Linked DNA regions of Pelodiscus sinensis. The protein of the gene in region 1 purifies or fractionates together with the protein of each later gene. This does not show direct contact. Links are inferred from orthologs where the notes say so. Each region holds a gene or a part of one and is shown in the gene's direction. Other genes may lie near its edges.

Region 1 (7,385 bases):
CCAACCACATCAGCCACCAAAATGGAGGCTCATTTAACTGTATATCCACTAATGTAATCTATGCCAGCAATGCCCCACTGCAATGTATACTGGCCAAACTGGACAGTCTCCATGGGAAAGAATTAATGGACACAAATCAGATATCCGAAAAGGCAATACACAAAAACCTGCTGGAGAACACTTTAATCTGCCTGGACATTCATTAATGGATCTCCAAGTCATCCTTTTGTTTCAGGCCAATTCCACAAGCCAAATACACAGGGAAGGGCTGGAACTTAACTTCATTCACAAGTTTAATTCTTATGCAAATAGTCTGAACAGGTTGGCTTGCACACTATCTTCCACATCCTAATGACTTAACCAACTAAACAATGGAGGTGCTAATTGTTCTTATCAGTCTCTTGTAACTATTTGAACCATCTACTCACTGTCTCTCTCTTTTTTCCCCCCTCCCCTCCTTTTCTCCCCTCTTCCCCCTTCTCCTATTTATTCTTGGATCTGGACTTCTAAAACTCCTGTCATCTGAAGAAGTGGGTTGTGCCCATGAAAGCTCATGATACCATCTACATATTTTGTTAGTCTTTAAGGTGCTACCAGACTATTTGTTGTTTAAGTTTTAAAAACCCCACAGTTATTGTGGCATAAGAGGGCCCCACCGAGTTTTTCTAGCATATTGGGAGAGCCTCAAAAAGAAAATAGCGAGAACTCCAGCCCTAGCGCACCCCCTTGAGGCTTTGAAGTGAAGAGAGAAACCAACTTACAAGCATTACTAGAGAGCTTACTAGTACATCAGTTTTCTCCCCATATCAAAGCCTCAAGTCACTGCTCCTCCAGCTTCATTAACACAGGCCCAGGCAAACATCTGCTATAGCCAAGCTCTGCCCCACTCCCTCACTTCTCATTATTAATCACTCGCAATCCACATCCATCCTCCTACCTTACACTCTAAGCTGCAGACTCCCCTACACCCAGCTCCTCAAAATACCAGAGCTCAGATCATACAGGCTCAAACCAATTTTTTAAGTGACAACTTAAAGTCTGGAGAGCAATTCCACAGAAGAGTGGTTTCATCAATTCCACCTACTCTGACCTCCAGTATAACACAGAGCAGAAAACTACCCCTGAAATAAATCGGAGATTCTGAAGTCACACCTGAGGCCCTGACTTACAACCAGTAGCCATCAAGGTTGCTGTTGGTTCAAAATATGTCAGGTGGCCTCCCTTTCATTCGTCACTTGCATCAGCTTGCAAAATCCATTACTTTTTCTCTTTGACATCAATGGAAAATACACAATTCTTACAAACAAAACAGAAAATGCCAACTCTTCAGACCCCATAAGTAAGAAGTTCCTAACAAAACAACTAGGGTGCGTCTAGACTGGCAAGATTTTGCGCAAAAGCAATTGCTTTTGCGCAAAAACAATTGCTTTTGCGCAAAAACTTGCCAGATGTCTACACTGGCCGCTTGAATTTGCGCAAGAGCACTGACTTTGTAATGTACAAAATCAGTGTTTCTTGCGCAAATACTTTCACGCTCCCGCTCGGGAAAAAGCCCTCTTGCGCAAAAATACTTGTGCAAGACGGCCAGTGTAGACAGGGAAGAACTGTTTTACGCAAAAAAGCCCCGATGGCTAAAATGGCGATCGGGGCTTACTTGCACAAAATCGCGTCTAGACTGACAACGGATGCTTTTGCACAAAAACACTTTTTGCGCAAAAGCATCCGTGCCAATCTAGACGCACTTTTGCGGAAATACTTTTATCAGAAAAACTTTTCTGTTAAAAGTATTTCCGCAAAATCATGCCAGTCTAGACGCAGCCCTAGTTTTTCAATGACAGATAGAAAAGAGCCTTCAAGCATCTTTCCCTCCTCTACCCCCCATCTCCTGAAGTGGTCCTGGATTTGTGCTTAGAAAAGTGTATTGATGCTGAAAGCATTTGTATTGACCTGCCACAGGTGTTTCTAGCTTTGAAAGGTAACGAGCTACTGGACCTTATAATTACATCACTGTATCATATTGCTTGTTTTTTTCTTTTCTGACACTTGATATGGTTCTAGTAGCAGACATTTTACAAAACTACAGAGTGCACTTCCAAGCTTGCAGAAGGCATAAAGCTAAAAATTAATGCTTTAACAATACAAGACGACAGCTGCTAAAGCAGCGTCAGATATTAAGCATTCAATAAAATGCTTAAGTATAACCCCAACTGTAAGTGCAAGAAGCATCGCTGAAGTGAATTTTAGGCTTGAGTACACAGGATGATATTCAGAATAATGGAATGTGTCCGTGTACACTAAGGATGTTAAATAATGATTAATTTACTAGTTGAGTAGTCGACGGAATTTCCATCAACTACTCGATAGGCACTTCTGCATTCCTCCTTTGAAAGTTTTACCACTGAAAAGAGGGAGGGTGTCTCCCAACTTTCCAAGGCCATAAAATAGACTTCATTTCTAGATCTCCTGAAGTGCAAGACATCGGACCTTACAATGGCAATTATTAAAGCAGGTTCTGAAATGTGCCCTGAAATAGGGATGTCAACATGTAGCCGAATACATGATTAATCGATAAACCTCTGCTGTATCAAAGGCAGCAGCGCAAGGCAACAGGTGGGAGCTGATCTGCATCGAGAGCCAATTTTTAAATCGGCTCCCCTCACAGACCAGCTCCCGCCTGCCACCCCATGCTGCTGCCTCCGATAGAGAAGGAACAGCGTGGGGCAGCAGGAGGGCGCCCCGTGAGTGGGGCCGGAGCACACTGGCTGCTGACCCTGCCCCCGGGGACAATCAAATAGTTGTGTAACTACTAAAATTTGATGCAGTTACACGACTAATCAATTAATCACTATCTAACATCCGTACCCCTAAAGTCAGCTAACTGGGCCAAGCATGGAGGAACCCACAGCCTCTCCACTGAGAATGCTCAGCCCCCTAGTATCCAAAATTAACAAAACCAAGCTCAGCCCCCTAGTATCCAAAATTAACAAAACCAAGCTCAACTTTTAAGTCAAACCCAAGGCAGAAAGTAAGTCTTTAAAAGTCCCAGATACTACTGGGATATTGAACTGTTACTCTGAAACACTGCCTGCACTGAGCCTTCCTGAACCAGTGCTGAAAATGACTTAAGTGCTACTGTTGCACAACTTAGTGCACTATGGAGTTTTGCATCTGGTATCAGGCACTGTCAGAGACCAGACTAGATGGAAGATGGACTGAAAAGGTGTCTCTACCAGTAAGGGAACTTCCCAGGTTCTTGGGGGGTTTGTCCATAGTCTGAACACAACATTCTTTTCCTACCAATTCAGTTTTTGTTCATAATTTGGGGCCCACAGAAATACCTGCAGTTCCAGGGTGACAAGGGCACCCAAAGCACAGTTTATAGACTTACTCATCAACACGTTTTGTGATAAAGGTGCAAATTCCAGTCCTAAGGTGTTGAAACATGTGCCTTCCCCACATCCCTGCAGTGAAGATACAGCCCCAGTGGGGTGGGGGCACAGAGCCTTGCATGAACAGCCACAGCCAGACTCCAGGCTACAGTCACCTCATCACACAGACTCACAGCCAGGTAAAGTCAGACATTGACCCAGTGTGACCCAGCCCCACAGGAACTGTCACGGGCTCACAGACGGACAAAAGGCTACAGTCCCCTCGTCACCCAGGAACAGTCAGACAAGGCCAGCCACAGTCAGACCCCCATCTACAGTCACCTCACCAGGCAGACAGACAGACAGACAGCAATAATATCAGGGATGGTCTAGACAGTACTGGGTCCTGCCATGAGGGCAGGGGACTGGACTCGATGACTCTCGAGGTCCCTTCCAGCCCTAGTATTCTATGATTCTATAAACAGCACCGCACAGGCGGGCAGCAGGCGACAGCCCCTTGTCTGCCAGGGACAGTCAGACACGGCGGCCAACCCCCGGCTACAGACACCTCGCCACACAGAAAGAGTGAGAGCTTCACAGCAGGGTACAGTCTGACCCAGCCCCACAGGAACAGCCACGGGCTCACAGACAGACAAAAGGCTACAGTCCCCTGGTCACCCAGGGACAGTCAGACACGGCGGCCAACCCCCGGCTACAGTCACCTCGCCACACAGAAAGGGCGAGAGCTTCACAGCAGGGTACAGTCTGACCCAGCCCCACAGGAACAGCCACGGGCTCACAGCCGGACAAAAAGCTACAGCCACCCAGGGACAGTCAGACAAGGCCAACAACAGTCAGAGCCCCGCCTCCAGTCACCTCAGCAGACAGCCAGCGCCGCACAGGCGACAGCCCCTTGTCCGCCAGGCACAGTCAGACAGGGTGAGGGTGAGCGCCTCACGGCGGGCACAGTCCGACCCAGGACACGCCCCCGCCGAGCCGTTACCTCCGGGCCGGCCTCTCTCTCCTCGGCGGACTCGCGCCGCCGCCTCTCTATGGTTGGCGCGGCCTAGAGTCGCCGGTCACGTGGTCCGCTGCTAGGGCCGCGGGGCGGGACGGGGCTGGCGCGCGCGCCGGGTGTCAGGTGCGGGGCTAGGCCCAGAGGCGGGAGGGGCCGGCCCGCGCGGTGGGGGGGGAAGGGCTGCCCCCGCCCCGGCCCCCTGCTGGGGCCCCTCAGCCCCGCGCGGGGGGGCTGCTCCCCGGGCCCGGAGGCGGGTGGGGGAGGGGACGCTGTGCCGGGTTGCTACTGCGCATGCCCGGCGGGGCGGAGCCTGGCGGGCGGTGCCCCGCCCCTGGGCGGGGCGTCTCCATGGCGACCGGGTAGCTGCGCAGCGCTGGTGCGGGGGGTGCGCTGGAGATGCTCTGAGGGGTCACTGCGGGGGGTGCCCTGGGCGCAGGAGCACAGCCGGCCTTCGCCTGTGTGGGGCCGACACCGCCGGGGACACAACAGGTGTTTGCGGTGGGGCCGGGCCGTGGCCCGTCACCCGTGGGAGGCGATGTCAGCCCCTTTCTGAACAGGCAGGGAAACAATCGGCCACAGGTCTGAGAGAGTCTGTCTGTTTCTACAGCGTGAGAGCGAGGGCCAGCGAAGCCAGGACGCCGCTTCCACTGAGCACAGCTTAAAGCAAGGGCAGGGGCGGGTTGTGCAGGACAATGGGATGCGCCTGGAATGGGATTGACTCTCATACCACCGTACTGAGAAGAGAGAGAATCACCAGGCAGGTCCCAGCCCTACCCCGCAGACACCTGTTAGGGAGGGCAAGGGGAGGCGCATCTTCCCCCAGATTAATACGAGGACATTGCTGGCTCCCTTTGGGGAGCACGGGGAAAGTGCACAGTGTGCTGCATTCCTCCCTCTGGCTGGGGAGGACGGGGCAGACGAGCTGTGCACTTTGCTCTCGTTCTCTGGCAGGGACAAGAAGAGGAAGAGCAAGTGACCCTGGTACAAAACTCAAGGAGCTTCAGCCTCTTTGCTTACCCCGCTACACACACACACACACCACAGTCCCCTGGCCAGATCCCCTCCCTACCCTCCCACTCTGACTCTTACCCACCCCACTTTCCCAGTTCCCTGCCCTGAACACCTTAGGAACCTGAGCAAAGCCACGTACATGTGCTAGTTTGTTGCATGGACAAAAACTGAATTGGTAGGAAAAGAAACATGTTCATGCGTCTCATAGGGCAATACAAACAATGGAGGGTATTAATAACTATGAAAAACAACTGTGCCATGCCCTACTGACTGTAAAACAGCCATTAAGCTATTTAAGAAAGGAGTCATGGCCAGGGCAAGCATAGAATCTAAGCTCCATCTTTTTGGGTTCTAGATATCAAGGATAATTTCTGCTTTATGTCGCAGATCTATCTGCATGTAAATTGTGCAAAGATGGACAGTGAAGTGCAGAGGGATGGAAGAATCCTGGATTTGATCGATGATGCATGGAGAGAAGATAAATTACCATACGAGGATGTAGCAATACCTTTGGTAGGTGAACACAGTAAGCTGCTTATAAGCCTATATTATGTGTCTACCCCCTTTAACCTCCTAACAGAGGCATGGCATAGGAAATGTGCCTTACAGTTCTGACAGTTGTATGAATGATGCTCCCTCACTCCAGGGGCCAGCTTCCCATTTATTTTATGCGGGGTGGTGGATTTCTTCCAGCTCTGCATATCTCCGGCTTGGTGGAGGAATAAGTGCTTCTCTCCCTGCAGCTGACTGCCTCGCTTTGGAAGGAGAAAATGCTTTCCCATAATCTAGGCGAGCTACCTGTTTCTTTGGAGGGTGGAATGTTTCTTTCTATCCTCCCCTCATACTCCTAGTACCACCAGTCTGTGAGGAGCGGGTTCCAGGACTAACCTCTTCCTCAGCTTTTTCAAGTGCTATGCTGCTGGCCCGAGTGGAGAGGGGAGGACCCAAAGACTTCCCCTTCACTTATATACTTCCAGTACTGCTAGCCAAGAGTGAAGAAGGGAAAACTCCTAGGTCCACTTAGCAACTATCTTTGATCTGTCACAGATTACTTGATAGCACACCCGGATCTTCACAGCCCCTTGTCTCTAGGCATAGATACAGCCTTGTTATTAACGGAAACGTCTCATTTAAGCCTGATAAATCTTGAGATTTTCTCCTTAATTAACTGGATAAAGCCCTTCCTCGTCCACTCTATTTTGACAGGCTGCCTTTCATGTTGAGACACTTCTCAGCCAGCCATGATTTTTGCTCACGGAGTGTATGTACTTCAGGCTTTTGTACCTGCATCACCTTTTGCAAAGATCCCTTCTTAGAGTAGTGATGGACTTCCAAATTGTAGGCCACTCATCCTGCTAGATTTCTTCCCTCCCACGTTTGCATACTCAAAACCTTCAAGCCTCTCTTTATTCTTACATTAGACAAAGTTTGTGAGAAGATTACTTGAAGGGAATTAGTCTCCTATCACAGACATATGCATAGCAACTCACTATCTTCACTTAGCCTCTGCAGGTGTACTCCAGCGTTAGGGAATGATCCGATCTCCACCGTGCGGAACTGTGGTTCTCTTTTTAAGTTCTGGAAGCCCAAACTCTCCTACCTGTTGGAGTTTATTGGGATGTGCCTCGTTAAGCTGGCTGAATACAGAAACCTCTTCAGTGCTGGTACTTGTTTCATCTTATGGTCAATTAACTAGATAGCGTCACTCCTTTTTGGGTAGTGGGTGGAGGGAGGAACTATGTAACTACTCTTGGAGACTGAGGCGCATGCCCAGAGTGGAGGAAGAGTTCCTTACAGCATACTTCTGAGGTTTCCTGGGCTTGCCCTGCAGATGCTCATACTAACAGTAGAAAAGGCCTGAGTGTGGACCTAAAGACCCCATGAGACCTGAGCCATTGACATAGGATTGGCTGTTGGCAAGCTAAAAACCAGAATGGCAGCTTTGGGATATTCCTTCATTCCCAAGTCAAGAAGGAGCTGACTAAAAA
Region 2 (7,306 bases), on another chromosome or scaffold:
GACAATACTTGCTGCACTCAGCACCTCAAGGAATTTGACAGAAGATTTGAGTGGGATGGGGAATCAGCCACTCAAAGAGCTAGGCACAGCACCTTTCTCTGCGTTCTGCAGGCCCCTCTCCAAAGAGCGTGATGGGCTCTCCAAGAGCTCGTAGGCACGCCTTGACTTCAGAGTCATCGGTGGAAACATTGATCTGCCTGGCACGCTTCCTGCGCTCAAATTCAGCCAAAACTTCTGCCTGACGCTCACTTATGTGGTCTTCAAGATCAAAGACCTCACCTGCGCCAGAAACAGAGCCATGAGAATAGAGCAACAACAAATGTAATTAGAGCAGCAAGAGTTTAGCCAACTCTAGCCACTAACAGCTATCTGCAATTTAAAAACTATCCTCTCAACTGTTTCAGGCCAGGACATTCGAGCCACCAATGGCCATCTTCCCCCAGACACCCTGCTCAAAACGTAGGCTGTCAGGACTTGTAGACTCTGCAGCCCCAGCCTCTGTATTATAGTACAGCAGCTGGTTCAGCGCAGCACTCAGGCTTCTGGCAACTTGCCAGCAAGCCACAGGGCCTACAAATTCTGTTTGATTTCTGTGGATTTTTAAAAAGTTCATTCATTCTTCTCCAGCAATGGGGCCATGATCAGGACCAAAGACGGAATCGTGGAATTCCCTCTCCTCTATGTACTTGTTGGCACGGATTTCACAGCCCCTACATGCCTTTCAGCTGGGCAGAGTTTGTGCATCTACTGCTTTGGCCATTATTCAAACTTAATCAAAGATTCATCTTCTTTCTAAACAGCTCTAAGTCTCACACTTTTTCAGACAGCTGAGTCAGAGGATGGTACACAGATGATTACCCCTCTCACCCTACATCAGTTGGACTTGGTATACAGCAGGGTGAGGGGGAAAACCTGGCAACTGCCCCCCAACACAGACACAGACAAAATCAGGAGGCTTCCAATTAGGAGCAGCTTGATTCTCCTAAATGCCACTGCAGTTAGCTCTGCTCTGCAGCCCTAGAGCCAGGGAGAGCAGTCTTCCACATTAATGCTTTGATTCCATGAGTCTGTTTGTGTTCTTGTTAATGTGGATGTCACAGGGCCCTAAACAAGAAGAGAGTGTAACGCAGAGCGCACACTTACCACTGGTTATGTTAATATTGCCTGCCTCAATTGCAGCTCTCACTCTCTCTCTCCCCAGCAGTCCTGACTCTCCTTTGGCAAGACGCTCCCTCTCCTTCTCCTCCAAACTGCCATAGAAGATATGGGATCTCTTGGGTAGTGGAGCATCGCTGTCCTCCAACAGTTTGTTTTTTGTTCCCTGGAGAATGAAGGCAGGATTTCAAAAGACTCATTTGATATTTATTCAGATACAAAGCAGCAATTCAGCAATCTCCTCAGTTGCAGGAGACAGCATCCCCCAGTGAGAAATAGTTAACAAGGTCAGCCAGGCAAGAAGCCCTTACATTTTATATACAAGATTCATCTGGACAGCAAGACTATTCCTCACTGAAAATGTGTTAAAGTAGAATTAGAGGGCAGCAAGCCAAGGATGTTTTTAAAAATTGGACTTGTGATCTTTTCTGCTTCTTTATGATGTTACCAAATATGCTCTCAGGCTTTCTTTAGCCTTTTGCTCCCCTGCTAGGTTCTTCCTTTGGGGCTACACTTCAAAGTTAATTGAGATTAAGGTAGGATGCTGATTAAATCTGTGTGAATGCTCTTATTCTGGAATACCAATGACGCCTTGCTCCTCCGGATTCAGTTAAAGCATTACACCACATGTAATGCTCCAGAATTTGAGCATGCGCACAGAGATGTTCCTAAATAAGTCCATGTGGAAACAAACCCTGAGAATGTAGTCTGCCCTTCCCTGGCTTTGCTGGGGGACTTCTGGGTAGTATAAGGTATTTTGAACCAAGGAATTTCATTATTCAAAACATTAGTTAGCCTTCAAATCTAAATAGCTTTTATCAAAAGTAAACAGAAGAAAAATTTTAAAAAGTAATCCTTTCTCAATTTAAAAGCTCAAGCATCTCTGATCTTATGTCATAATTATGACAGTACAATTGCATAATTTCACAAGTTCTCCATCAGGGAGCCTTCTAACTTAGATACATCCTTAATTTCTCATGTAAAAAAACAAGCAGAAAAAACAAACTTTAAAAATCCATCCTTTTTAATCATTCTTTATCCATTGGACTACAGGCAGTCCCCGAGTTACGCGGATCCGACTTATGTCGGATCCGCAGTTACGAACGGGGCTTTTCTCGCCCCGGAGGACAGGACACCCAGATGCGCCGCGGTCCGCCGCCCCCGTCCTTTGGGGCGAGAAAAGCTGCTCCCTGTCTCCCTGGTCTGCAGGGAGACGGGGAGCAAAGCCTTAGAGCACACCCGCAGCGGGACACTTGAGCTGTCCCCCTGCGGGCGTGCTCCGCGGCTTTGCTCCCCGTCTCCTGACCAGCAGACCAGGGAGATGGGGAGCAAAGCCTCGGAGCACGCCCGCAGTGGGACAGCCGCGGCGCGCCTGGACTGTCCCGCTGCTCGCGTGCTCTGCAGCTTTGCTCCGCGTCTCCCAAGTCAGCAGGCCAGGGAGATGGAGCAAAGCCGTGGAGGACTTGGGTGGTCCAGCCACCCCCGTCTTACTGGTCTGCTGGAGGGGTGGGGGAGGTGCAGCTAGTGCCCCCCCCCCAGCAGACCAGGCTTTTCTTGCCTACCCCTGGGGTAGAGCAGCTGGGGGCTGCCGGGTTGGTCCCGCAGCGCCGCTCCGGACCAACCCGGCAGCAGCCCAGCTGCTCTGCCCCAGGCGTCCTGATTCAGCTGCTGCTGGTCAGTTTCAGCAGCGGCTGAATCAGGATGCCTGGGGCAGAGCAGCTGGGGTGCTGCTGGGTTGCTCCAGTAGCGCTGAGGAGCCGCGCTACTGGAGCAACCCAGCAGCACCCCAGCTGCTCTGCCTCAGGCATCCCCAAGTCAGCCGCTGCTGAAACTGACCAGAGGCTGACTACAGGAAGCCCGAGGCAGAGTTGCTCTGCCCCAGGCTTCCTGGAATCAGCCGCTGATCAGTTTCAGCAGCAGCTGACTTGGGGACGCCTGGGTTTCTTAAGATGAATCTGTATGTAAGTCAGAACTGGCGTCCAGATTCAGCCGCGGTTTAAACTGATCAGTTTCAGCAGCGGCTGACGCCAGTTCCGACTTACATACAGATTCAACTTAAGAACAAACCTACAGTCCCTATCTTGTACGTAACCCGGGGACTGCCTGTAGTGCATAAAGAACACAAACCAATTTGCAGATCACGATTAAGGCAGACAATGTTTTCAATAGAGTCCAGCTACTATGTGTAACAAAATTACACTCCTTACAAATAATTAAGACCTTCAAAAACAAAGATCTCAGACTACTGGGAAATGTAACTATGAACATGAAGGATTCAGCAAATTCCTTCCCCTCTATTATCCACCTCACTGACACCCTGACTGCCTCACTTTACTCCCCAATTTTTCCAAAATACACACAAAAGTCAAATCAACTAGTTACCACATTATAACATTCTATTCCCTAAATAAAGAATCCATTTCCAATGATCTCATAATACCTCTGGCATAACTGCACATATACATGCTTTTTTGTTTCTGCAATGAGAGTGCCCTCAATGGTCCCAATTATTTGACATTTCCCCCAGTTGGCGTGTGGCTCTCAATCCTTTGGTGGAACAAAACTCAAGACGGTATTTGAAAAAGTTAGTCCTACAGATGGGTCTGAATGGACTGTGCCGGGCATGTGCCCAGGAGGGCTGCCAAGCAGCGCGTACCCAGAGGCCTGAAAGGGTCCCGAGTAGCCCTTGCGCTCAAGGCTCAAGTAACCCCCAGGCACTGGACATTCGGAGCGAGCCCTGGCAGGAAGCGGGCCGGGCGAGGTAAGCGCGGGGCTCGCAGAGCAGGCGGCGGCGGCTCCTTTTCTTAAGAGAGAAGCCGCCACAAAGGCCAGGGCCGCCCGGTGCGGAGGGGGCGGGGGGGGCTGCTGCGCGGCGGAAGCGGCAGAGGAGGCCGAGCGGGCCCTACCCGCGGGGAGGGAGCCGGGCCCGGCTGGGGAGAAGGCGCCGCCCGCCCCGGGGCGCCGCGCAGGGCGGGAGGCCGCGAGGAAGCCATGTCAGTCCGGAGGGGCGAGAGCCCCGGGCCAGGCGTCACTTCCGCTTCCGGGTCCCGGGGAGGAGCGGGACGCTTGTGCTTCCGGGGGCAGGCCGGCGTTCCGGAAGGTGCGCGGGGCCTGACGGGAGGGGCCGGCGCGGGGCGCGGGAGCTGATCGGCGCGCTCCCCCCCTCCGCCCTGGTCGCGCCTCGCTGACCCCTCCGCCCCCCCGCGATGCTGCGCCGGAAGCCCACGCGCCTGGAGCTGAAGCTGGACGACATCGAGGAGTTCGAGAGCACCCGGAAGGAGCTGGAGGTGAGCGCCCCCCCCGGCCCGGCTCGGCCCCCCCAGCTCCCCCGGCCCGGCCCCCCCCCCCCGCTCGGCTCGGCCCCCCCCGGCGCCCCCCCGGCTCCCTCCGCCCGGCCCCCCCCCCCCGGCTCCCCCGGCCCCCCGCCCCCCCCCCCGGCCCGGCCCCCTTGGCGAGGCCCCGCTCTCCCGCACGCGCAGGCGGCCCCGAGGGGCGGGGGGGAGCGGCCGTGATGTCCCTGCGGGGCGATCGCTGCGCGAGCTCCAGGCCGCTCTGCACCGGCGGGCGCTTTCGCACAAGCGCATCCCTGGCAGCTGGGCGCTCTTGCGCAGGGAGCTCCCATGGCCGTTTTAGCCACAGGGCTTCTGCCGTTGCCTGTGGACACCGGCCTCTTGCGCAAGAGGGCTCGTCCCTCGAGGGGACAGGAGTAACTCGTCCGGAAGAAGCTGTTTTCCGACGCTGTGCTGTGAATTTACCTGCACAAGAACACGTGCGCAGTGCAGACAGCAGACAAGGTTTTGCGCACGAACAGTTGTTCTTGCACAAGAAACTGCCCGTGTAGACAGAGCCCATCTGTATACATGCACCAACCGCAGGGGTGGGCAAAAGAGCCTCCGCGGGAAGACTCCTCCCAGTGCCAGGGGCATGGGTGCCTCCGGGCTCCCCCACCCCCAGGCCAATCATGGTCTGAGGGTGGGGAAGCCCAGAAACATCCTGGCCCTGCCCCTTCAGTTGGAAGCCCCGCCCCTTCTGGAGTAGCCTGAGGCCACTTACAAAATGTTTTAAGTAGCCCCTAGCAAAAAATAGTTGCTCATCCCTGACCTACAGCTATTGGGGTCAAACACAGTATTTACATTGGCAGATGTAATGGCATATACAAAAGCTATGAGGCAGGAGAATGACATTGTAGTTCTCTGCCTCCCAGACACATCTGGAAACAAGGACTGAACTGAGGTGCAACAAGTTGAGCCCAGGCTAGAAGGGTGACTTTCTTTGAGTAGTAATACTTGAAGTTTTAAGCTGCAGGCTACTGTAACTGACTTTCAAGAATCTTTGCAATCTGCCCAAGATAACATTTAGGGTGAGACAGTACTATTTGTAGCCTGTGTCTTTAGTGCATCGAGTCTGTATATTTTACTTGCTCAGTAATCTTTGTTCTGTGTGCTGTCCTTTACATTCACTCTAAAATCTACCCTTTCTAGTCAGTAAACTTGATTTTATTTCTTGTGAAACGCAGTTTGTGAAATTGGTAAGAGGCTCTGCATGCCACATTGAGAGAGGGTAGATCCTCTTGGGTTTGCATTCCAAGGAAGGTGGGTACCTGAGTGATGAGGCAAATTCCTTGAGTCTTCCCACTGCTGAGCTCAGTGTCTGTGTTTTTCTGCAACTGGATGTGGCCCTGTGTGTGGGCGCAGGCTGGAGGAGGTTTAAGAGTCTGACTCAGCAAGACAGGATTAAAGGGTGCCCAGGCTGGCAGAATAGGTTGGGGCTTATTAGTATCCTACTACATCAGGGGGCAACCTATCACACACCCAACCTTCCTTCCGTCCCCCCATTTTGAGTTAGTTTCTCTAAACATCCTGAGCAGTTGAATTTCCGTCACAGTGGAGTATAAGACTTGGCTTGACTAAGTCCTTTAACTTGTTGTGCCCCTGTGTGACGGTAGCATCAGCTCTGTGAATTGGTAGCCGTTTGTGTCTATGTAGGTAGGGAGGTGTCTGAATGCCGTGACTTGTGTATTAACTCTTACAGAACAATGTATTTCCCTCCTTATGGCTATGCAAAATGCCCAGGGAATTTATTCAGTCTGTAAGCAGGTTTCCTGGAATGAAATCAGCTTATCTACCATTTTTCCTGCCTTCACAGTTTTGAGGTCAGTGGTCAGAACTGAAATGGATGTCTCGACACTGCTAAGATCCCTTTGATGGAAGAGCTCTAGTTTTCCATTGTCCTTATTTTTAGTTGATTGCTTTTTTTTTTTTTTTTTGGCAGAGTCGTAAGAAGCAGCGTGAAGAGGTGGATGGAGTGGGAGCCAACGAGGAAGAAGGAGCTATTGGTCTGAGCAATGACCATAAGAGCCGAGAACAAATGATAAATGACCGGATCGGTTACAAACCTCAACCCAAACCCAGCAACCGTTCCTCCCAGTTCGGAAGCTTTGAATTCTAGAGTTTAGGGGGCCTGCTACTTTGTGGGCAGCTGAGCATTGGACTCTGAGGTTGCGTTCCAGACTGTTCTGGCAAAGATGTTCAAAGGCTGTTTGCATAGCTCTAGAGCTGGCTGGGACTGGCCCGGATTTGCCAACGAGTCTCGGGCTTCAATAAGGGAAAGTGTTTGCCTCTTTCAAAGACTAGTGGGTGTGTTTTAACTTGACTGATTACTGCATTTCCAGAGATCTCTCTGCCCAGCCACTTTGTTTTAAATAAATATTTTTTTTAAATGAGATACTCAACATATCAGAAAATGCACATGGGGCTCCTAAAGGCAAACAGAAAATTTTTAACAGCAGATTGGCCTCCTGCATGGGACAAAAACAGGAGTCAACCATGGCCACTGCCTCATGGGGATTGGCACAGAGGCAAAGCTCTGCCTCCCTAGAGCAGTCCTTTCAGTGTTCTTGAAAGCCCAGCTCCAAATGGTGCAGTGTAATGGACTGGGCATTGGTATGTGAAAGACTTGGTTTCTCCCCACACTAGGGAGAGGCAGGGCAAGCTTCCCTAGACTCTGCAAGTTGTCAAGTGCTTGGCTCCTGCGGGTGTGCTGCAAGGAGCCAGTGGCAATGGCTGGTGCATGCATTGCTAATTTACTAAGAAATGAGCTAGACTTCAACTCATTTCAGTCATCACACCATAGCTGCTTTCGTACTGCCGTG
Region 3 (7,508 bases), on another chromosome or scaffold:
AAAGATGAGATCTGTTGATTGATGGCTCAGTACATTCAAACATATGTAGTGCCTAGAGACCCAATGGAGACTGAGATTCCATTGTACTAGGCACTGTGCAGAAAAATTCTCTGGCCTAAAGAGTGTAAAGTGTTAAGTAGACCAGACACCTATCCAATAAGAGGAGAAAGAAGTGACTTGTCCAAGGTCACATAGGAACAGGGCCGGCTCTAGGCACCAGCAAATCAGGCAGGTACTTGGGGCAGCATTTCAGGTAAGCAGCTGGCGCTGCCCCTGGCAACGCCTAGCCCTGCCCTGCTGATTTTAAAGGGCTGCGGCCTGGGAAACGCCGTGGCTGTGCAGCCAGCTGGCACCAATGTGCACCTGGAGCCTGCTGGCCACCTCGTCTCCTCTCCTACTCCTCCCCTCCCCGGCAGTCGCTAGGCTGCTGGCACAAAATGGCTGCCGGCCAAAAGACCAAGGAGACTTAGTGCTCAACTGCTCTCTTGTTCCTATTCCTGCACTCACTCTTAAAGGGGACATGCTGTTTTATTTTTTTGTTGTTGTTGTTCAACAACTTTGGTCTCCCCCCCACACTTTTTTTTTTCCTTCAACAGAATTTTTTCCCGGTGTTTTTTTTGGGTGGGGGAGGGCAAAAATGTTTTTGCTTGGGGCAGCAAAAAACCTAGAGCCAGCCCTTCATAGGAAGTCAGTAGTGGAGCAAGAAGTAGCACCCTTGAAAGAGATCCTGACTCCAGTGAATGAGTCCAGGATTTCACTCTGCATTCTAGTCCACTACCTTAAGCACCAGTTCATGCTACCTCTCTGCTCTAGAATGCCAGTCTTGCATTAAAATGTAACTCCTCTTGATTGGTAACAAAATAAAAAATATATGAGGCCTGATCCTGAAGTTTGGTGCAGACTATAGTCCCTTTAATGAGACTTTTGCCTGAGTAAAAACTGTAACATGTTAGGATTATTGTGCCTATAATATTACCTGGTGGAACAAGGTGTAGAAAGTTGCATTAAGGTAACTGGTGATATAGGTGTTTAGGATATAGATGTTAAAGGGACATTTCACATGACAGCTACACATTGGCTGTGTCTAAACTGCATCCCTTTTCCGTAAAAGGGATGCAAATTAGACACATTGCAATTGCAAATGAAGCGGGGATTTAAATCCCCTCCGCTAAACATGTCTGCCGCTTTTTTCCGGCTCGGAGCTTTGCCGGAAAAAAGCGCCAGTCTAGACGTGGATCTTTCGGAAAATAAAGCCTTTTCCGAAAGATCCCTTATTAAAATAAGGAATAAGGGATCTTTCGGAAAAGGCTTTGTTTTCTGAAAGATCCGCGTCTAGACTGGTGCTTTTTTCCGGCAAAGCTCCGAGCCGGAAAAAAGCGGCAGCCATGTTTATGCAAATGAAGCGGAGGGGATTTAAATCCCTGCTTCATTTGCAATTGCGATGTGTCTAATTTGCATCCCTTTTACGGAAAAGGGATGCAGTCTAGACACAGCCGTTGTGTGTCTCTCAACTCCCCTCCCCTCTTCAATGTACACTTGCCTCTTCCTCCATCTCTGTAGGGCCATCCTGAGAGGGCCCGAGGCAGCACCCTCCGTCACATCTCCCATCTCTGCCCTGCCCTTGCCCCCTGACCAGCATAGCCCAGGAGGATTATGGGGTCCTGGTGTGCAGCAGCAGGGGTCATCTTTCCCCCTACTCACCACCCTGGGGCTACAGGTGTCTGCTTCCTTCTGCTATGGGGAGCAGCGGGCTGCAAGAAGGTGGCAAGATGGAGTGGAGTAGGCTGTTGGGCTGCTCCAACTCCTGCTGTTGTGAGGGAGCAACCCCTGCTGCTGCCATGCTAGGTCCCCATAATTCCCTGGTCACTCCCATCCCTAAGATGGTTGAGGTGACCTCCACAGGGCCCCCAAAAGTATGGGGGATCTGGGCTAGCTGCCTGCATTTCTACTATAATGTCCCACATCAGGGAGAGCTGCAAGAAATTCCCCACCTCCAAAAAACTGTCACCATGCTGCTCCAAGTTTAACATGGGTGATGGGTAGAAGTCAACATCACATAAGAACAGCCATACTGGGTCAGATCAAAGGTCCATCTAGTCGAGTATATTGTCTTCTGACAGTGGCCAGTTCCAGGTGCCCCAAGGGAATGAACAAAACAGGTAATCATCAAGTGATCCAGCCCTTGTCACCCATTCCCAGTTTCTGACAAACACCATCTCTGCCCATCCTGGCTAATCGCTATTGATGGACCTATCCTACATGAATTTATCTAGCTCTGTTTTTGAACAGTCCTGGCCTTCACAACACCCTAACAAGGAACTGCACAGGTTGGTTGTATATCAGCTAGTGTGCGAGATATCAGTTAATTGAATAGTTGAGTCATGAAATCCTGTTGGTTATCAACTATTTTATAGTCCCCAGGGGAGAGGCCAGCATCCAGTGTGCTCTTGGTCCCACTCCTGGGGACCCCCCAACACCCGCGCTGCTGCCTCTGTATCAGAGGCACTAGCATGGGGTGCCAGGCAGGAGTTAAAAAACAGATCCCCACATGGACCAGCTGCCTACCAGCCTGCTTTGCAGCCTCTGATAAAGAGGCAGCAGTGAGGGGTGGCAACAGCTACTGTCTGTAGGAGGTCCCATGGACAGAGGCTGCTGCAGCGGTGAGGATGGAAAGGCTGCCACAAAGCAACCTTGGTCCATGGGCAGCAGGGATTGGGGTCTGAACTCCCTGGGGGCAGATGCTGTTCAGCCTCCCATGGAGCAGCCTCTCTCTGCAGTAAACTTGAGCCTGCCATGGACAGAGGCTAGTCCTCAGCAGGAGACCTGAGGTGGGACTGAGCTCCCCTCAGACAGAGGTGGAACAGCTTCTGTCCATGGGGAGCTCAGACCCCCTGCAGTCAGGGGCTGCTGCTAGGGTTGCCAGGTGTCTGGTATTGTACTGGACAGTCCGGTATTTGCGCGCTCTGTCCGGTAAAAAAAATCAGAAAATACCGGACATGTGCAATGTCTGGTATTTTTTGATTTTTCCAGCTGCGCACCAGACGGAAGCCTGGCATGGGTGGGGGGAGCGGATGGGAGGCGGGGCCATGATTGCTGCCAGGAGCCCTCAGTTGGTTGAGTGTGAGGAGGAGGGGAAGCCTGCACGGGACAGGCAGCAAGTGCCCAGGTCAGTCCCGCTCCCTGCCAGCCAATTTGCTCACCCCTTCCTGGCTGGTTCTCCCTCACTTCCCCGGCCAGCCCTCTGCACCATCCCCCAGCTCTGCTTCCCACTGGCCCATTCCTCTTTCTGATCTCCCGCAGCCAGCGCCGCTGCATCCCTCCCCTTGCCAGCTCTGCTTCCTGCCCCCCTTCCTCCCGGCCAGCGCCACTGTACCACCCCCCGCCAGCTGTGCTTCCTGCTCCCCCTTCCTCCGGGCCAGCCCCGCAGCCCCCGCCCCGCCCCCAGCTCTGCTTCCCACAGCCTGTTCCTCTTCCTGATCTCCCCCGGCTAGAGCCGCTACATCCCACCCCCGCCAGCTGCTTCCTGCCCCCCTTCCTCATGGCCCCCAATCCGCCCCAGCTGCACTTCCCACCCCTCCTCCCCCAATATCCCTCGGCCAGGCCCGTTTTGCCCTATCCCCCCTGCTTCCTCCCCCATCTCCTCCGGCCAGCCCCGTTGCAACCCCCATTAGTTGTTTCCAGGACCCCCCTTCCAGGCCAGCACTGCTCCCTTCCTGGCCGGTACTTCTCCCCCCCCCCCCATGAAGCGTTTTATTTTTAAATGACTCCCTGGTAACCCCTAGCAGTGATCCAGGTTCTTGGAAACCCCCCCCTTTTTTTTCTCAACAACTTTGGTTCTCCCCCCCCTTTTCTTTCCTTCAACAAAATGTTTCCAGTTTTTTTTTTGGTGTGTGTGTGGGGGGGTCGGTATTATTGTTTCAGCCATCTGGCAACCCTAACTGCTGCCAGTGCATGTTCTCAAACGCTGGGGGGGAGCCTTGGGAACCAGATCCAGACAAGCCAGAGTCCACTTCCAGCCCCTGGGCCCGAGCTCCCCACCCTGCATTACTGGGCGCGCCTAAGCTTAAACTACAGGGAACGTGCCCAAGACTTGCCGCCTACCCCGGCGAGAGCGCAGCGCTGCTGGGACTCTGTCGGCGATTGAACTACCCTGGGGGCCAGGCCCAATGCAGTGCCCCCTGCTGGCTCAATGGCAGCGCTTCCTTTATGGAAGGGACAAGAAGCAGGCGGGCCCAGACACGACGCGCGTGCGAGCAGGTATCGCATTCACTGTGACGTCACTGTCCCCTCACTGTGCCGGGAACAGGGAGGTCCCCGCAAGGGCTCCGCCGCGAGCTAGCCCGCGACACGAGGCGCCGTCAGAGCCACCTGCGCATGCGTAAAGTGCCTCAGGCTCCTGGGGCGTCTACTTTTATGCCTGATGGAAAATGTCATTGCTTTGATGCCTATCCGTTCAGCGGCGGGGTGGAAGCTTACACCTGGTCTGGATTTACCTGGGGGAGCCCCAGCGGAGAGGTTTTTAAACGGAGGCACGAGGTCGGGCGACCGGAAGAAGCGCAATGGACCCCTGTGTGCGAGGCCCCTTCTGTGGCGCCATTTTGGAGTCGCTGCGGGCTGAGGAGCTGCTGTCGCTTCCGTCCCCGGCCGGCGCCCCCTGCGCCTCCCCGCGCTTCGGGATGAGCGTGGTGGAGCATGTGCGGGAGATGGCGGCTGCGGGGCTCCACTCCAACGTGCGGCTCCTCAGCGGGCTGCTGCTCACCATGAGCGGCAACAACCCGTGAGTGCCGCGGGGGGCCGGAGCCGGGGCTGAGGCAAGGCCCCTCTCGGGGCCCTGCGACCTGGGGCTGCCCCAGGCGGAGGCGGCAGGGTGGGGGGTGCTGGACGGGGCGGGGTCTCGCGGGTGCTTTGTGGGGCCCAGCGGGACCGGGCTTGGGGGGCTGCAGCTAAGAAGGCGGCGTCGGAGCAAAGGCCCATCCCGCCCAGTGGCCAGTGCCAGGTGCCCCAAAGGGAGTGAACAGAAACAGGGGTCGTGACACGAGCCCTCCCCTGTCGCCTCTTCCCAGCTTGTGACCGAGGCTAGGGACACTCTCCCTGCCCAGCCTGTCTAATCGCCATTGATGCGCCTGTTCTCCAGGAATCTATCTAGCGCTTTGTAAAAACTCTGTTATAGGCACAGGCATCCGGTGGCTTAGGCAAGCTACCAGCTTGGTCCACCCACACTCCACCCCAAGACTATCTCGGAGCGGAGTGTTGCTGCCTTCAACACCTGCCCTCCTGGTGCTCCCCTTCCCTCTCTTCCTCTCCTTGGTGCTTCAGGGAGGCTGAGAAGCATTCGGTGCTGCCCCTCTTATCCCCCATCCCCAGTGCTCCGGGGAAGCTGGGGAGCGTTTGGCCTGTTGCCCCTTCTCTGGGGAGTGCTTCCCAGGTTTCAGCAGAGGGGGTGCCTGCCTCCCCCAGCACCAGCTTCACCAGCCACTCATGGTTATAGGCGAGGTCTACACGGAGATGGTTTGGTGACAAAAGTGAAAACCAATCAAACTAATTTTTCTGTCTCCCATTGTCGCTATTCTATGTCCACGCTGCTAGTATCCTGTCAACTAACAAACAAAGTGATGTGGGTAAGCACGCACACACACACACCCCGGTGTAGTGTTTTGGGAAGGCAGAGTTTATCCATGCACTTCTTGGGATTCCCACCTAACTCTGTGATCTGTCTGTGCTGAGGAATATCAAAGCAGCTCAGCAGTCTCTCCAGCCCTGTAGCAGCAGTCTGCCTGATGCCATGTTTCTACCAGGGCAGAACAGAATCACTCCAATGATTTGTTCTTTATTTGTTCCCCAAATGGTGAAGCTCATTGACCTGTCACATACTTGCCAGAGTTTTGAAAGTGGAAGGATGTATGCATGCAGGCAGCAAAGATCGCAAAAGCCTGAACAGAGCTATCAGGTCAGGCATTGTGGGATACTGGTGAAAGCCATTTCAACAAAACAAACCACAGTGTCCACACTGACTCTATGTTGACAATAGAGGGAAGGGAAGAGACAAAAATCTCTTACAAGGCTGAAGTTTTTTTGTTGCCAAAACTGGGTGACAAAATTCACATTGTAGTGTAAATGCTCTCATTGTTTCATTGCCAAAAGGCAGCTTTTGGTGATAAAATGTGCCAGTGTAGACAAAGCTATAGTCTTGACCTTCACAGCATCCTCTGGGAGGGAGTTTCTTCGGTTGACTGTGTGGAAAAAAAATACTTCCTTTTGTTTGTTTTAAACTTGCTACCTATTAATTTTATTAGGTGACCCCTAGTTCTTGTGTTATGGGAAGGAATAAATAATTTCTCATTCAATTTTTCCACACTAGTCATGATTTTATAGACCCAAATCATATCCCCTTATAGCTGTCTGTTTTCCAAGCTGAAAAATCCCAGTTTTATTAATCTCTCCTCATAAAACACCTGTTCCATAGCCCTGCTTTTTTTTCCCAATTCCAATATATCTTTTTTGCAGTGAGGCAACCACATCTTCATGCAGTATTCAAGATGTGTGTGTACAATGGATTTCTATAGAGGCAATAAGATTTTTTTCTCTCTTTTTCTATCTGTTCTTAATGATGCTCAGCATTTTGTTTGCTTTTTTGACTGCCTGTCAGCCGACCGTCAGGGCAGTGAGTGGTGTGTGTGTGTGTGTGCTATACACCCGAGACTTCAACTGCTGAGACTGGGGTCCCTTGCAGCGGGCAACCTGGAGGTTTATGAGCGCCCCAATATGTTTGCAGGGAGAGCTTATTACACTTCAGATTTTAGCTGCTAGAATCTGTGATTCCTTCGCAGCGGGCAGCCTAGGGGAGGCTGAGGAGTGCCCCAACGGATCTGCCACCTGGGAGTGACACAAATCCAAATGCCCAAGCTCTCCCTATATCTGTCCCTTAAGACCGGCTGAAGTTCTTTTAAATTGTGCCTGGTTCTGTTACAGCAACTGAAGGAGTCAGGTTAAAGCTTAAACAGTTACAGGTTTATTGAGGAAGCTTATAAATCATATGTTTGCAATGGCTATTGTTCTATTTCTTAACTGCTAGCAAAATATAGATATTAAAAATGGTTACAAAGAAGATAAAGATAGGAAAAACAAAAATAATAGTACCAAGTAACAGCTTAACCTTTAAAGAGCTCTTAGTCTGTGTACACTTAAGACAGAGGACCACATCCAGGTACAATTTTTACCCCCTTCTGTGCCTCTCGGCTCCAGCGTATCATGCCAGAGCCGGTCCCTCAATTCCTAGGAAAGACGAAAATATGAGGTGGGCGTCCCCATAGAACCTCGGGAGGTCAAACACCTAACCCGACCAGCAGGTAGAGGGTAGATTAACACTCAAAAGTGAGTGTGCTACTGTACCCATCTTTATACCCATGGGGTCACGTATTTCTCTTTCTTATCTGTGATGCCAAATAGTGCTGGTCTGCCTTTTGTGAGACCAGTTCTTACAAGGGAGTTGTGAACTTAATTTACACTTG
Region 4 (7,594 bases), on another chromosome or scaffold:
GCAAAACTCAAGCACTGCAGCAGCAAAGGCGACACTTCCCATACAACACAACCACAGAGCCTTGCCCCTGCTCTGAAGTGTTCCCTGGGGAGATCACTGCATCTTACTCCCCCCCCCCCCAAGATTCTGTCTTGTAGGAGAGGGCAGCCAGTCCTCCCTGGGGCCATGAGGCTGTGCTAGGCCCAGGCTTTGCTAAGGCACTGTGTGCCATGAACGGAATGCCAGTGGGCGGTGACGGACCGGAAGAAGAGAGATGATGCACTGGGATTGGAGCTGAGAGTCTACAAGGCAATGCAGGAGGCTCTCAAAGAACTGCAATTTTACAGAGAAGAAAGAAATCTGAGGTTGCACAAGGGCACTTTGGGTGGAGCTGGAATCAAAACCACCAACTCGAACCCCTAAGCCTCACCCAAACTGCCTTCTGAAACGAATGTGCCAAGCCCCTGCTTGCTTACCCTGTCTCTAGCAGTCATTCTAACCACTAGGCCCTAGTGCTCTTCCAGAACCAGGAGGAGAGGCCAAGAATCCCAGTTCCCAATGTCCCCCCGCAACGCAGCCAAGTGGCAGAGGGCCGTGGTAGGGGCTGGAGGTCCCATGTGCAGTGCCTGGTGTGGTTTTCTCACAGCAGTACCCTTTTTGGGAGAGCTGTGGAAAGGCCTTAGCTAAGTGCTCCCCAGGGTGGGAAGTGCCATACCCAGGAAGGCAGCCCCCACGTGCAGTGGCACCTTTCAACTCACTTTTGTAAATGACCACAGGATTTTGGCCGAGTGAGTTGAACCTAGTTCTGGTTCAGCCACACCACAAAGCCCTGCTTTCCCTGGCCTTTTGATTGCAGTTCAGAGCTGGTTCTACACGAGGCCTTGCTAACTGGAGAGACGCCATGCCTCTTCGGCAGTACCACCCAACCCCCCACGCATCGGGCAGCTGCCTTGGAGAAATCCAGCCCCCGGCGGCCAGATACCTTCGTGTAGGCGGCCTCAGTCTCGACGATGGTTTTCTCAAACTCGTTGCGGGTGGCCATCTTGCGAGCCAGGCTCTCGTTGACGCGGGCCAGCTTCTCGGTCAGGAGCCGGATGTCGTTTTGCAGCTTGCTCTTCTCCTCCTCCTCGTGCTGGATCTGCTGGCTCAGCTCATCCCGCTTGGTGCACAGCTCCTCGATACCTGGGGCAGGAGGCGAGTCAGGGCCAACTGTGGCCAGGGGCTCAGGGCCCATCCCTCTAGCACGCACGCAGGCGAGACATGTCCTGAGGCACCTGCATGGCCTCCCTGCACGGGGAGGTGGGGCCCACCTGGCCAGTGCAGAGAGTGTGGGGGAGTATGGGGAGGGAGGGGATGCAGTGCACAGAGCGGGCACAGGGTGCATAGGGGGGCAGTGCACAGAGCAGAGGGGGGGTGCAGGGTGCATGGGGGCAGCGCACAGAGGGGGGCAGGATGCATGGGGGCAGTGCACAGAGCAGACGAGGGGCGCGGGGTGCATGGGGGGAGGCGCACGGGGGGGCAGAGTGCATGGGGGGGCAGCGCACAGAGCAGACGGGGGCGTGGGGTGCAGCGCATGGGGGGTGCAGGGTGCATGGGGGACAGCGCACGGGGGGCAGGTGCATGGGGGGCAGCGCACAGAGCAGGCGGGAGGCGCGGGGTGCATGGGGGCAGCGCACGGGGGGGTAGGGTGCATGGGGGGCAGCGCACGGGGGGCAGGTGCATGGGGGGCAGCGCACAGAGCAGGCGCGGGGTGCATGGGGGGCAGCGCACAGAGCAGATGGGGGGCAGGGTGCATGGGGGGCAGCGCACGGGGGGGTAGGGTGCATGGGGGCAGCGCACAGAGCAGACGGGGGGTAGGGTGCATGGGGGGCAGCGCACGGGGGGGCAGGGTGCATGGGGGGCAGCGTACAGAGCAGACGGGGGGGCAGGGTGCATGGGGGCGGCGCACGGGGGGGCAGGGTGCATGGGGGCAGCGCACAGAGCAGACGGGGGGCGCGGGGTGCATGGGGGCGGCGCACGGGGGGGCAGGGTGCATGGAGGGCAGCGCACAGAGCAGACGGGGGGTGCATGGGGGCGGCGCACGGGGGGGCAGGGTGCATGGGGGCAGCGCACAGAGCAGACGGGGGGCGCGGGGTGCATGGGGGCGGCGCACGGGGGGGCAGGGTGCATGGGGGCAGCCCACAGAGCAGACGGGGGGCGCGGGGTGCATGGGGGCGGCGCACGGGGGGGCAGGGTGCATGGAGGGCAGCGCACAGAGCAGACGGGGGGTGCATGGGGGCGGCGCACGGGGGGGCAGGGTGCATGGGGGCGGCGCACAGAGCAGACGGGGGGTGCATGGGGGCGGCGCACGGGGGGGCAGGGTGCATGGGGGCGGCGCACAGAGCAGACGGGGGGCGCGGGGTGCATGGGGGGCGGCGCACTGGGGGGGCAGGGTGCATGGGGGCAGCGCACAGAGCAGACGGGGGGCGCGGGGTGCATGGGGGCGGCGCACGGGGGGGCAGGGTGCATGGAGGGCAGCGCACAGAGCAGACGCGGGGTGCATGGGGGCGGCGCACGGGGGGGCAGGGTGCATGGGGCGGCGCACAGAGCAGACGGGGGGCGCGGGGTGCATGGGGGCGGCGCACAGAGCAGACGGGGGGCGCGGGGTGCATGGGGGGCGGCGCACGGGGGGGGCAGGGTGCAGGGGGGCGGCGCACGGGGGGGCAGGGTGCATGGGGGCAGCGCACAGAGCAGACGGGGGGCGCGGGGTGCATGGGGGCGGCGCACGGGGGGGCAGGGTGCATGGAGGGCAGCGCACAGAGCAGACGGGGGGTGCATGGGGGCGGCGCACGGGGGGGCAGGGTGCATGGGGGCGGCGCACAGAGCAGACGGGGGGCGCGGGGTGCATGGGGGCGGCGCACAGAGCAGACGGGGGGCGCGGGGTGCATGGGGGCGGCGCACAGAGCAGACGGGGGGCGCGGGGTGCATGGGGGCGGCGCACGGGGGGGCAGGGTGCATGGAGGGCAGCGCACAGAGCAGACGGGGGGTGCATGGGGGCGGCGCACGGGGGGGCAGGTTGCATGGGGGCGGCGCACAGAGCAGACGGGGGGTGCATGGGGGCGGCGCACAGAGCAGACGGGGGGTGCATGGGGGCGGCGCACGGGGGGGCAGGGTGCATGGGGGCGGCGCACAGAGCAGACGGGGGGTGCATGGGGGCGGCGCACTGGGGGGCAGGGTGCATGAGGGCAGCGCACGGGGGGGCAGGGTGCATGGGGGCAGCGCACAGAGCAGACGGGGGGTGCATGGGGGCGGCGCACGGGGGGGCAGGGTGCATGAGGGCAGCGCACGGGGGGGCAGGGTGCATGGGGGCAGCGCACAGAGCAGACGGGGGGTGCATGGGGGCGGCGCACGGGGGGGCAGGGTGCATGAGGGCGGCGCACAGAGCAGACGGGGGGTGCATGGGGGCGGCGCACGGGGGGGCAGGGTGCATGAGGGCAGCGCACGGGGGGGCAGGGTGCATGGGGGCAGCGCACAGAGCAGACGCGGGGTGCATGGGGGCGGCGCACGGGGGGGCAGGGTGCATGGGGCGGCGCACAGAGCAGACGGGGGGCGCGGGGTGCATGGGGGCGGCGCACAGAGCAGACGGGGGGCGCGGGGTGCATGGGGGGCGGCGCACGGGGGGGGCAGGGTGCAGGGGGGCGGCGCACGGGGGGGCAGGGTGCATGGGGGCAGCGCACAGAGCAGACGGGGGGCGCGGGGTGCATGGGGGCGGCGCACGGGGGGGCAGGGTGCATGGAGGGCAGCGCACAGAGCAGACGGGGGGTGCATGGGGGCGGCGCACGGGGGGGCAGGGTGCATGGGGGCGGCGCACAGAGCAGACGGGGGGCGCGGGGTGCATGGGGGCGGCGCACAGAGCAGACGGGGGGCGCGGGGTGCATGGGGGCGGCGCACAGAGCAGACGGGGGGCGCGGGGTGCATGGGGGCGGCGCACGGGGGGGCAGGGTGCATGGAGGGCAGCGCACAGAGCAGACGGGGGGTGCATGGGGGCGGCGCACGGGGGGGCAGGTTGCATGGGGGCGGCGCACAGAGCAGACGGGGGGTGCATGGGGGCGGCGCACGGGGGGGCAGGGTGCATGAGGGCAGCGCACGGGGGGGCAGGGTGCATGGGGGCAGCGCACAGAGCAGACGGGGGGTGCATGGGGGCGGCGCACGGGGGGGCAGGGTGCATGAGGGCAGCGCACGGGGGGGCAGGGTGCATGAGGGCGGCGCACGGGGGGGCAGGGTGCATGAGGGCGGCGCACAGAGCAGACGGGGGCGCGGGGTGCATGGGGGCGGCGCACAGAACAGACGGGGGGGGCCAGGGTGCATGGGGGGCGCAGCGCACAGAGGGCGGGGAGCAGCGCACGGGGCTGGGGGGGGGGGCTGGCCGCCGGCCCCCCCCGCACCCTCCCCCCCGCGGGTCCCCCCCCGCTCACACTTGACCAGCTCGTTGTTGTAGCTCTGCAGCGCCGCCCCCTGCTGAGTCATGGCGGCCCGAACCCGGCCCGGCGCGCGCCCCGCCCCGCCCCAACCGCCCCGCTCGCCCCGCCCCTCGCCCGGCTCCGCCCCCGCCCGCTCGCCCCGCCCCCGCCTCACGTGCCCCTGGCGCGCGGGCCGGATGGCGGCGGGGCCGGGCCCGGAGCTGTCGGCGGCCTGGCACGCGCTGAGCACCGGCCTGGTGCCGCCCGCCGCGCTGGGGCTGGTGAGTGAGAGCGGCCCCCCCGCAGGCCCCCCCTCGGACCCCCCATGTAGACCCCCCCGTCTCGCCCCCCGACGGCCCCCCCCAAAACGGCCCCCCCCATGCAGCCCCCCAAAACGGCCCCCCCCATGTATACCCGCCCAGACGGCTCCCCCATGTAGACCCCTGTCTCCCCCCCCGACGGACCCCCCATGCAGCCCCCCTCGGACCCCCCTGTCTCCCCCCCGATGACCTCCCCACACGGCCCCCCCATGTAGACCCCCGTCTCTCCCCCTGACGGACCCCCTATGCAGCCCCTCCTCCCACACGGCCCCCCCATGCAGCCCCCCCAAACGGCCCCCCCATGCAGCCCCTCCTCCCACACAGCCCCCCCCATGCAGGCCCCCTTAGCCCCCCCCCAGATGGAGCCTCCCTCCAGGCCTCCTAATCAGCCCCAGACAGCCCCCCACCCTGCAGACAGGCCTAGCCGTGCCCCCCACCCCGGATCCCAGCCATTTCCCCCAACCCCCCCGCCCCGTTTTTGTCCTGAGAACCCCTAAGTGCGTAGGACAGTTCAGTTCGGGTGGGCCCCGGAGAGGGTGTTGGTTGCAGATAAGGCAGCTCGATTTTCTAGTTTTGTTAGGGCATCACTTGGGCAGCAGATTTAAGGTGGTGCCTTTGCACCTCTTCTGAGTGCAGACTTAAGGCTGAACTTCCTGGGGGTCTCAATGTTGTTTCTATCCAATTGCTCTTGCAAGGTCGCAAACCAGAGGAATGGATGTCTGCCCGCACCTTTAAGTGCATTCTCACCCTGGTGTGTGGGAATTGCCTTAGCTTTTGTTCTTGCCAAGTCAAAGATGGTCGCAAGAGAGGAGCCTTGGGATCCCCGCAGGGATTCAGGGCCACCCCTATTCTTAGAATGTTCTAATTTGGAAGCTCATTCACTTAACATTTTCTAGGAAAATGCATATTGTTTCCAAATTGAATCTGCCTGTTCCGAGCCACTGTATTTTCGCTGGTTTAGAGGGAGCAAATTATGGAAACTTCTGTGCACTGAATGGCTGGCATTGTGGCTTTGAGCTCTTCAATAAATAGGCTGCTCACCTGACAGCTCCCATGGCCGCTGTCAGCAAGGGGAGCAGTTGATGCCAGTCACGGTGTGGGTGCTCATGATGTGAACACCTTCCTATCAGCAGGATTGAGACCCCACCCTCTCCACCAACAGCAGGTGGTTGGTAACCTACAGCCGCCTGAAACGTGACCCAAATACCAGTGGGGGACATGCTCCATCCATAGCCTGCTGGCTGTTCTTTGAGGTGGATTTGCAAAGCCCAGCCTCAGTGATTTGTAGGTGCCCAGGCTTGTGTTTAACTTGGTGTGTCTCTTTAGGCAGGCCCCAGATCAGGTTCAGCAGGGCTGCTGAAGGACAGTGACTTGCAGGCGGCCGTGGAAGTGCTGCAGCGCTATGACTTGCACTCTGTCCTGGAAGAATGGTTCACTGAAGTTTTACAGACAGACTTGCAGGCCAATATAGCTCCTGAATTCTGGAATTGTATTGGCCAGTATGAAAACACGGCGGAAGAGCCACAGTGCTCCTTGCTTCTCCTGGATGCCTTTTGTCTGCTCAAGTGCCGCCTCGACCCTTATCTGAACAGCTTGGACCTTCTGGAAAAATGGACCAGAATGGGCTTGCTCCTTGGAACAGGCTCCCAGGTGCTGCGAGAGAAAGTCTACACCATGTTCAAAGCCATCCTTTTCTTCACCACCACCGAGACGTTCCAGGAGATGATCCAGCAGTTCTACAGCCGCACCTTCAAGATTTACATGCGCCAGGGGAAGAAGGGTGAAGGCGGAGTGAAGGCGTGCGAGAGCAGCATGAGTGAGAACGAGCCAGAGAGCGATCCGGAGGACGGAGGAGACGGCCGGCAGTGCCTGGGCTGCAGCAGTAAGAGAGAGCAGTGCTGGTGTCCCACAGCCATGGAGCAGTTCCAGCAGCTCAGTGAAATCCTGTGCGTATCTTACAGCAAGGTGGCGAGTTGTAGGGGCCTGCGCTCCCCCCCTCCCCCTCGCGTTTGCTGGCTCAGGTCTCCCTGAGTTCCGCCACCCTATGCTTGCCCCCCAGCCCCGCCTGCTGTCCCTGGGTGATTTTAAATGCCTTGGGGGGGCCCCCACTGCAAGCAGCGCACAGAGACCCACTCTTCTCCCCCCACCCTCCCAGGCCCCTCGGAGGTGCTGGCAGCCACGCAGAGTGAGCGGCAGGAAGCCTCTCTAGCCCCGCTGCACTGCTGATGGGGGCTTCCAGGGTGTGTTAATTCACCTAGGGGCAGCAGGAGGAACCAAAGGATGCGCAGGGCGGAAGGCATGTGAGTGGCAGGTGGGGCGGGAAGAGCAGTGGGAGCAGCACCGTGCACTAGGAGCTGCTGCCAGAGGGTGGTGCCTCCCAGGTAAACATGGCACCCTTTACCCTGGTGCTGCCCCCAAGCTCCAAACTGCCTCCCAGAGCCTGCCTCCTCCTGCGGCTTCCTCCCCCACCCCAGGCCAGAGCCTGCATCCGGGCCTCATCCACATTCCCTCCCAGAGCATGCACCCTGAACCCCTCCCGCATCCAAACTCCCTCCAAGAGCCTGCACCCCTCCTACCCACCGATCCTCTGCCCAGACTCTTGCTAACAAGACCAAGATGGCTGCACACAAACTCCCTTACTCCCTTTTCCTGCCTCCACACTACTGATTGTAATGAGAGATTATGGTATGCTGATGGTATGAAATTTGCATATAAATTCCAGTTCAGCAGTTTCACCTTGCAACCTGGTTTGGAAGGTTTTTTTACGTTGGAAGTTTGATATTTGATATGACTTGGGCTATATCACGCGATCCTGTAGTCTGTTGTTTAGAATCCGAGAGTGTTCTATTGTCGCAT

What was found.
Region 2: the proteins of ANAPC13 (region 1) and CDC26 purify together in Homo sapiens (affinity purification with mass spectrometry; 4 studies listed by BioGRID and IntAct, counting the BioPlex papers as one, with this or other methods). This does not show direct contact. The link is inferred for Pelodiscus sinensis from reciprocal best matches to the Homo sapiens genes ANAPC13 and CDC26.
Region 3: the proteins of ANAPC13 (region 1) and ANAPC7 purify together in Homo sapiens (affinity purification with mass spectrometry; 3 studies listed by BioGRID and IntAct, counting the BioPlex papers as one, with this or other methods). This does not show direct contact. The link is inferred for Pelodiscus sinensis from reciprocal best matches to the Homo sapiens genes ANAPC13 and ANAPC7.
Region 4: the proteins of ANAPC13 (region 1) and ANAPC2 purify together in Homo sapiens (affinity purification with mass spectrometry; 3 studies listed by BioGRID and IntAct, counting the BioPlex papers as one, with this or other methods). This does not show direct contact. The link is inferred for Pelodiscus sinensis from reciprocal best matches to the Homo sapiens genes ANAPC13 and ANAPC2.

What each region holds. Positions count from the first base shown.
Region 1 is NC_134720.1:1,061,043-1,068,427, reverse strand, and holds the start of ANAPC13 (anaphase-promoting complex subunit 13), read left to right. Parts: upstream 1-4,377; 5' UTR 4,378-4,509; exon of another isoform or gene 4,510-4,525; intron 4,526-4,726; exon of another isoform or gene 4,727-4,875; intron 4,876-4,908; exon of another isoform or gene 4,909-5,367; intron 5,368-5,784; 5' UTR 5,785-5,811; coding exon 5,812-5,910; intron 5,911-7,385. UniProt on the Homo sapiens protein: Component of the anaphase promoting complex/cyclosome (APC/C), a cell cycle-regulated E3 ubiquitin ligase that controls progression through mitosis and the G1 phase of the cell cycle.
Region 2 is NC_134732.1:1,349,550-1,356,855, reverse strand, and holds CDC26 (anaphase-promoting complex subunit CDC26), read left to right. Parts: upstream 1-4,297; 5' UTR 4,298-4,361; coding exon 4,362-4,442; intron 4,443-6,426; coding exon 6,427-6,603; 3' UTR 6,604-6,879; downstream 6,880-7,306. Other genes in the region: PRPF4 (U4/U6 small nuclear ribonucleoprotein Prp4), read right to left, coding at 93-279, 1,144-1,321, 4,062-4,148. UniProt on the Homo sapiens protein: Component of the anaphase promoting complex/cyclosome (APC/C), a cell cycle-regulated E3 ubiquitin ligase that controls progression through mitosis and the G1 phase of the cell cycle.
Region 3 is NC_134725.1:32,240,311-32,247,818, forward strand, and holds the start of ANAPC7 (anaphase-promoting complex subunit 7), read left to right. Parts: upstream 1-4,508; 5' UTR 4,509-4,559; coding exon 4,560-4,777; intron 4,778-7,508. UniProt on the Homo sapiens protein: Component of the anaphase promoting complex/cyclosome (APC/C), a cell cycle-regulated E3 ubiquitin ligase that controls progression through mitosis and the G1 phase of the cell cycle.
Region 4 is NC_134732.1:2,396,887-2,404,480, reverse strand, and holds the start of ANAPC2 (anaphase-promoting complex subunit 2), read left to right. Parts: upstream 1-4,578; 5' UTR 4,579-4,615; coding exon 4,616-4,699; intron 4,700-6,064; coding exon 6,065-6,684; intron 6,685-7,594. Other genes in the region: microtubule nucleation factor SSNA1, read right to left, coding at 962-1,161, 4,434-4,485. UniProt on the Homo sapiens protein: Together with the RING-H2 protein ANAPC11, constitutes the catalytic component of the anaphase promoting complex/cyclosome (APC/C), a cell cycle-regulated E3 ubiquitin ligase that controls progression through mitosis and the G1 phase of the cell cycle.